2 linked regions of the Drosophila melanogaster genome follow. The protein of the gene in region 1 purifies or fractionates together with the protein of each later gene. This does not show direct contact. Each region holds a gene or a part of one and is shown in the gene's direction. Other genes may lie near its edges. The genes, in order: Gagr and CG6013.

Region 1 (4,747 bases):
GGTGGTGGAGGGTTAGGAGTGGGCTGCCACTAATAAAGGTGTGCGCTGGTATGAGCAGCGGTGCACTGCGAGAAATGATCCACTACATTGCACTTCTATTCAAATCACTTTCTAATCTTGTACCGTTAACGTCAATAGCAGAAAGTTTACTTTAATAATTAATAATATTGTTTGAATTTTAAATAAAAATGAAAAAAAAACAATTTTTATTTGTGAAAGTTGAAGTTTTTGACCTTAAAATGGTTACATAGACGTAAAAATTATGTATTAGTACTAAAGTGAAGAAATCGCTAAGCACTATGTTATCAAAAATAAAACTTAGAATCTCATAACAATTATCATTCTTTATCATTCCAAATGTTGAAAATTAAACATAAAGCTAGAATATCAAGTGAAACCTATTAATTACACTCATTTTCTCTCAGTGCACGTGTCAAGATTGGAGGCAATCGAGCTGAATTAGATGCTGCTGGGGTCGATTGAGTGCAGATCAGGCGATGAGCAATCGAGTGCAGGGTGCAGCAAGCAGCGAGCAACAATTAGATTCTTCGAAAAAATCTAAAAAATTATGAAAGGACCTTGGAATGCAATTTTGCTGTGTGCCACAATTTGCATGTGAATAATGGCAAAAATCACATCTCTCGCTGTCAATCGGTGCGTATGCGTAATATTTGTGTGCGCCGCACAGTCTGTCAGTTTGAAATTATGTTGTCCTAGCGTAGACTTTCCCCATTTGCTTATTTATTTATTTATTTATTTATTTTTTGTTAGCCATTTGAACCCCGACAATTAACACGGCGAGCAGCGACGAGGCAAACAAAAAGCGAATCTAACGCTTCGTTTAAGCGATTTGTGTGCGCTCTTTAATGAAATTCGCTGCTGTGTTTGATGTTGTATTAGGGGTACGAGTAACGACTATGTGCGTGCTACGGCCTTTTTGTGGCCCGTGTCCGTTCGGCTGGCACTATCGCCATCTCTATCTGCCCGGCTATACATACATATATCTATCGCGATCGGTCGCAGGGTGTCGCCGTGCTGGGATTTTGTGGCTATGACTCAGCGTCGCAACAACAGTAAGCAAATAGCGTTTGGGGGAAGTTGGTGTCACGTCTATGAGATACCCATTGAATCTATTAAATTCACTATCTATTTTATGTCATCTATTAAAGTTACTATTTAGCAGTTCAACTAGGTCGCTTTAGGTCGCGATTTTTCTCTTTATAAATTTCTACATATAATCACATTAGTTTTGATTCACTTTAAATGTAAGCTTAAAGCGGAATTTAGCTGAAAAGAAAAATCGAGTTCTTCACTACCATACGATTATCAGGACTTCCGGCATTGTTCACCCAAATGTATGCTACAAAAAATATCGTTCCCTTTTGAAGGCAACAAGGAAACTCTATAAGAACTCCCATACTTCTAAGAAGAAAGTAATATTAAGGAGATATCTTGTATGTAAGACCCATAGAGTGAAGTAGGGAGTAGGGAAGCATGCGTATGTCCTACTTATTTTCCCAGAATCCTCGATTGATATCACTGTGACTACCCATTGTGCGAACCATACCACCTGGATGGTCTAGTATACCCGTTGCACTCCACACACAACGGGTACCACAACTCCCACCACAATGAATGGCGGGCGCTGTGTTCCGTTCTGTTTTATTCTGCCAGTTGATTTCGGTTCGGGTTCGGATCCGCTCATTCAGTTCAGTTGTGCTCAGCTCGGTTGGAGCGACCACGGTTCGTGTCGATTGCGAATCCGTTGCCATTGTCGGATTGGATCGCGGAGAGGGTCTTGCAAGTAAAATTCATGTTAATGAATGTTAATTTATACATTTGTAAGAATCTAAAATCTGTTTTTCCATACACAACAATTATTGACGCGGCAGTCGCTGCTTGGCGGCGATTTCGAATTTTGAAGCAGTCGCGCCCGAAACGTCGCCGCGAACGCAACGATCGGTTAACGGTAAAGATATAGAAGGCCACCCTCTTTGGAACTAGTAATAGTAGTCCTACGGGAGATTAGTCCAGAATGGATCCCGAGTTCGTGAACAAATACAATCAGGTCCTTAGCCGTCTGAAGCTAGTGGAGAACTTCGATGGCAGTGATCCTGGCAAGCTGCCGCAGTTCCTGCACAAAATCGAGGCCCTTATGCCGGCCATAAATAGTTTCGACGACTACTACAAGTTTCAATTGATAGGACATATCAAAAATAAGTGCACAGATCGCGCCAGGGAGGCGGTCTTCACGCGACAAATGAGCGCTCCCGTGGGCAATGGCAATGGCAATGGCGGCGGGAATGGTCATCTCCTGAAGGCCGAGTCCTGGCTAAAACTCAAGGATCAACTGCTGTACAACTATGCGGAGCGGGAGTCTAGCTACTCGCTGATACACAAGATACGCAGCGCTGTCTTGGACTCGAACATAGAGTTGTACTACCAGAAGATGGCCAAACTCAAGCACAGACTGATCAATAGAAAGCTCACGCACAATGACACCCTGTACAGTCTCGAGGACATAGAGCGCATCACGCTGCAGGTGTTCCGAGATCATCTGCCCGAGCCGACGCACTCGATGATCCTGCGCCGGAATCCCAAGAGCATGGAGGAGGCCTATCGCTACATAGTGGAGGTGCAGCAGCAGTTCTACACACAGAGCGGATCTCTGGCCAGTGACCATCAGGCGGCCACCTTCAGCACCAGCCACAAGCAGCAGTCCTACGGCGTGGGAATGGGCGGAGTGGGCGTGAGCACCGTTGGCGTGGGCGTCGGAATGGGCATGGGCGCTGTGGGGTTGGGACTCTCCTCCTACGTTCGTCAAATGTCCAACGACAAGGGACAGCAGAATAGCACGAAGAGCTACTACAATCAGTCGGCTCCGCCGGTGGGCGCCGGCAAGAATCATCCGATGTTCAAGAGCATTGGCAACCCCACCTTTAAGTCCAGCTTCAGCTACAATGGCACCAGCAGCAATTCGGGCATGGGATCGAATTACTCGAGTACCAAGAAGTCGGACATCAAGCAGAACTACCAGCAGCAGAAGAGTCAGAACTACTCGAAGACCTCGTCGGCTAGTGCTTGGAAGAAGTAGTAGTTGACATGGCTAGACGATCTCACCCTCCAATCGATCGGCGGTCCAGTGAGATAAGCGTATCGAGCATGACCTAATCCCTTGGAGCCTGTGACTAAGCCAGGGCAAAGTGATTGCCACCTCATGCTAATTACCCCGATACCTCACCCTCTAATGGCGATGAGGTGGCCGAAGATTATAGGATGTGAATATAGATTAAATTGTGATGAGAGAGCCATACTGGGTGCAACGAGATGGAGGTGATCTGATCCCTGTTTCGCGATAATCATAACCAATCCCTATCAGTACAACTAAGACGATAATGATGTGAATGTTCAAATAAAACAAATAATACAAATGTTAATGTTATAACTAACAATGCGGCAATTTAAATACCTCCATGGATTAAGCGTACTAGATTGCACATGCAAATAAAAAAAAAAAAACAAAACCATGTGAATGAATACAGATGAAGATAATGCAAATAGAAAGTAAGGGCATTGCAATAATAGAAAGTGTGTGCATAGCTATGTACTATCAAGTAAAAATTAAAATAACTAAAAGTATAGAATCACTAATTCGAGCTGATAGCAATGATCTTGTCGAAATACAAGATAATTAAGCCGATCGAGATAATTGAATGCATGATGTTCGATCTTCGGTAATGATGACATCGATCGCGTGTCCATCGATGATGATCAATCCGCAGACAGTATCGACATGTTAATTATTAGCTCATAAGACCCGAGTGTACATAGCCCCACACCTCAGTCCCCAGTCACATTACCCCCTATATATGTATCTACCGCCAATCGCCTATTTTTTAACAACAATCGCCCACCTTCAAATTCTGTTTTTTTTTTTGTTAACAATAAAGTGTAAAGTCTAACAGCCCTAGTGTATCTCTGTTTTGGTCGGTCAGAGGTATCGAATTTGGCATAGTTTGTTTACTCACAATTTGCTGGGCACTTGAAGTGTGGGCGGAACCCCTCGGATCATAGCCCATGTCCTGGGGCGCTGGCTCCGATTGCTGCTCCTGCAGCTTCACAGTCTTCGGTCTCGACCGCTCCTTGACATCCTTTTCGGGCTTACCAAAGAGTCCTCTCTGCTCCGCCCGGCGAATCAGGTACTTTTCATTCAAATGTGTCAGGGTTTTGCGGCGCACCAAGGCCAAGTAACTGCCCGTAACCTGCTGTTTGATGCAATTATCCTGATTTATGCATATATCCGGCACGGTATCCTGCACGAACTCATCGATATCGGGTGTTACAATCAGATCAATGCTTTCCACACGCGGCAGTGGAGTAGCTGTACAGCCCGGAGGTCCAGGTGCTGGAGGTTCCGGCTGCGCCGAGGGTTTATCCTTCTTCCTGGGCGAATCCTTGCTCATTGCAGCTGCCGGAATGTTGGCTGCCTCCGCTTCAGCTATCGCCTCGAGACGCTTCTGCTCCTTGTACGCATTGCGATGCTTCTCCAGCGCCAGCTTATTGATCAGCTCCAGAACATGCTGCACCATATCCTCGTTCTCGGTGCCAACAATCGAGTGCGTTTGATAGAGAACGAATTGCACTTGAGGTCGCGACATCGACATGGTGAGGGTCAGCAGCTGCTCCTCGAGTATCATGGCCACCCGCTGGCGACCCTCATCGCTGACCTCCGATTCGGTGAGCACCT
Region 2 (3,255 bases), on another chromosome or scaffold:
AGTTGTACATTACACTGTTTTTTTATTGCTTTCTTTCGTGCTTTCAGGTCTACTTTAATAAACGCCGTGGAAAAGTCGTCACAGCGCTCTGCTGAACTGGGAAAGAAGTGAAAATGTAATCCCCCGGAACATCCCCTTGCTCTCTACACATACATATAGTTAAACGCTTGATATTGTTATTACAATAATGACTAACATAAAGCTCAAGTTTATTCCCGATCCTTCTTGCTGACGTACTCCACGCACTTGGAGGGATCGGTGGGAAAGTACTCTTGGCACTTGGTCATCAGTCGTTTGAGACCCTGGATGTACTTCCGTTGTGTTTCATCGTTCATTACGTGGGCTACGTTTTTGGAGAAAATCTTTTCGCGACCCGTACGAGCGTGGATACCCACCATAGTGACACCAATGGGCCAAGGCGCGTTTCCGATGGCCATTTCTAGGTAGGCATCGCTTGCTGTGATATAGTTGCGGTTGAGCAGGTGCTTGCAGATGTCTCGCAGACTGTCCAGAATGTCCTCTGGCAGGGTGTGATGCTTTAACTTGCGAAACAGCGGCTTAACGTATTCCTTAGTCTGCGTGTAAATGACGCGGGTCATTTTCACCTTTGTGGACATCTTTTCGTGCTTGCTGTAGTTGGCGATCTGGTCGTTCCACAGCTTGAGCAGGAAGGTGAGCAGCGTGATGATCACATCCATGTCGTAGTCCTTGTTGCGGCCCATATTTGCAGCCATTGTCTGTATGCTCTCCCACGACACGGACTCGTCGAGCTCAGCGAAGTCCGACTTCTTGTCTTCCTTGGTGGTGGGTGTGTTGGCGAACATCTCCTGCAGGTAGGCGGCGTCCACCTGCTCCATGGCCTCCTGGAAATCGTTGCGGAAACCGCGATTTGCCTCTGGCTGCGAAATCTCGCATTGTCGCAATCGGTCAAAGGCCTCGGGCTCCGTCTCGCCAAATATAAGGATGGGTTCGCCGCGTTCCCTTAGCCTCCGAATGACCTCCGTGCGCGGCAATATGTTCTGGCCATCGGCCACAAAACTGTACGCGCCTTCGGTCGTTTGTCCTTGTGCCTCGACGGACTCCTGCTTTATGTAGCCCACCTTCTGCAGCACTTCCTCTGTGTTCTTGGCGTTCAGGTCACCGCGTCTGAAGTACTTCTTCTTTTCGTCCACCAGCTGCCTTTGCTCCAGCAGCTTGCGCTTTCGCGCTATTTCAGCTTTCAGAATATCCATGTGATTGTTATTTGTAGTTAATAACAATGTGGAGTAACCAAAACAAATGCCTTAGATTATAGTGAGACCAGACTGAGAATGTTTACATACAAGTGCGGCCACTAAAATAGGTATTCTATTGAATTTACTAAGTTTTAGTTATGAAATAACTTATAATTAGTTCTATAACTTTAATCAATAATTAGATAAATATGTACTTCCTAATTTATTTAATTTAAATGCATTTATTAGACATTTAAATTGTATTTGAGCTATATATTTTTCTAGTATTTTTTCTTTGGTTACTCTTTGGTATTTCCGCAGCCTGGTCACACTGGCTCAAAATCAATAAAAAATAGACAACATTTTAGGATCGGAATTCATTCATAAAGGACACAATGCCAAAGAAAATGGGAATCAACTCGAAGGCGGTGGAGGCCCGCGAGCGCAAGGAGGCCACCAAGAAGGCCACGCAGGAGAAGAAGAGCAAGGAGGCGGAGGATCGCCTGTGGCGCGATGACGACAAGAATCTGGCCAAGAAACAACAGCGCAAGGACGAGGAGGAGCGCAAGCGGGCGGAGGCGGCCAAACGGAAGGCTGAGGCCAAAGCGCTGCTTGACCAGGAAATGTCATCCATTAACACGCAGCGAAAGCAGCCGCTGGCCAAGATCAACCGCCAGATGATTCTCGAGGAGATGGAGAAGAAGCAGCGCGTAATCGAGGCGATAAACGAGGCCAACAAGCCGATGGCCGCGCGAGTGGTGGTCCAAAACCATATCGAGGAGAATCTGAACCGATCCATGGCCGACACGGATGTGGCATCCAACATTGACGAGGCCATCGTGGTGCTCAGGTGCGTTCCCTTACTGAAACTTTCTTATCAATTTAAATTATCTTCCATTGCATGCAATTTTAGTGTAAATGACAGCGAAGAGGACAAGCATCCCGAGAAGCGAATGCGCGCCGCCTACAAGACCTTTGAAGCCAACAATCTGCCCCGCATTAAGGCTGAGAATCCTTCCCTTCGCATGTCCCAGTGGAAGCAGCTTCTGATGAAGGAATGGAACAAGTCACCAGACAACCCATTCAACCAGGCGCGCTAAGTGATCCAAGGACCAAGACTGTTTGCTGCCTAGCAGCAAAGAAATAATCAAAACGTTCTGTAGCACCTTTGAACTGTACGCAGAATGTAGTATATAAAAAAAAAAGTGGACGGAATAAATTTATTTATTTATTTAAGCCCAGTGAGTTGAATTTGTGTTAATTGCAAAAGTGGTTAGCTATTATCCTTCATAAAGCATCCCATGCAAAAGGATACGAAAGACAAAAAACAATAATAAGATTAACATATTCATATTAGAATAAAATCTTGCTATATAGGTACTTATTATAAGAACTGGATACAAATTCAACACATATTTTTCTATATTGTACACAATTTGGTTGTAATAATTTCGCTCTTACAAAAGAAATATTTAATTATGCAAGAGTCAATAAAATTATAGAAAATCGGGCGAATAAACATAGGATTGGATAACTCAGATCCGAAAGTGATAACGGACAGCTTTTCTCCGCTTATTGAATGCCGAATTTTTATTTGCCACCGGCTGAAAAACTTTGTGGCCCTGAATCCGATTCCGGTTGCGTTTCTGAATGAAGTAATTATATGTATTGCTTTGATTGCTGTTGTCGTTCCAGCGTTTTGTCCATCACTTTTTTTTTAGTGGTGCAAAATACGGAGAATAATAAGTGCTTCCGCTTTCACTACTTGCTGCTTGGAAGTTTGGTGGCGTTTTTTGGACCAGAGCCACCCAAATATTTTGCTGGTCCGTCGAACAAATGCACGTAACATCGGCCAGTTAAGTATGAGCTTTAAGTCGTTAGGCACCTCTTTTTGCGCATTAAATGCGATTTTATATAAGATATTAGGGCTTAATTGTCCGATTTTCCAAATAAAAAGTTTCTGTCTTAATAGCTGTGCTTGGCCAGCTAGTCAGCTTTCGTTTGCAAACACGAATTGAATGGGCCAAACTATTGAAGTGGA

The links.
Region 2: the proteins of Gagr (region 1) and CG6013 purify together in Drosophila melanogaster (affinity purification with mass spectrometry, with the first as the bait; one large-scale study listed by BioGRID). This does not show direct contact.

Annotation. Positions count from the first base shown.
Region 1 is NT_037436.4:16,392,915-16,397,661, forward strand, and holds Gagr (Gag-related), read left to right. Parts: upstream 1-1,671; 5' UTR 1,672-2,035; coding exon 2,036-3,094; 3' UTR 3,095-3,966; downstream 3,967-4,747. Other genes in the region: CG44836 (uncharacterized protein), read right to left, coding at 4,029-4,747.
Region 2 is NT_033777.3:19,029,962-19,033,216, forward strand, and holds CG6013 (uncharacterized protein), read left to right. Parts: upstream 1-1,541; 5' UTR 1,542-1,609; coding exon 1,610-2,064; intron 2,065-2,127; coding exon 2,128-2,314; 3' UTR 2,315-2,448; downstream 2,449-3,255. Other genes in the region: P5cr (pyrroline 5-carboyxlate reductase), read left to right, coding at 48-111; Prp18, read right to left, coding at 210-1,232.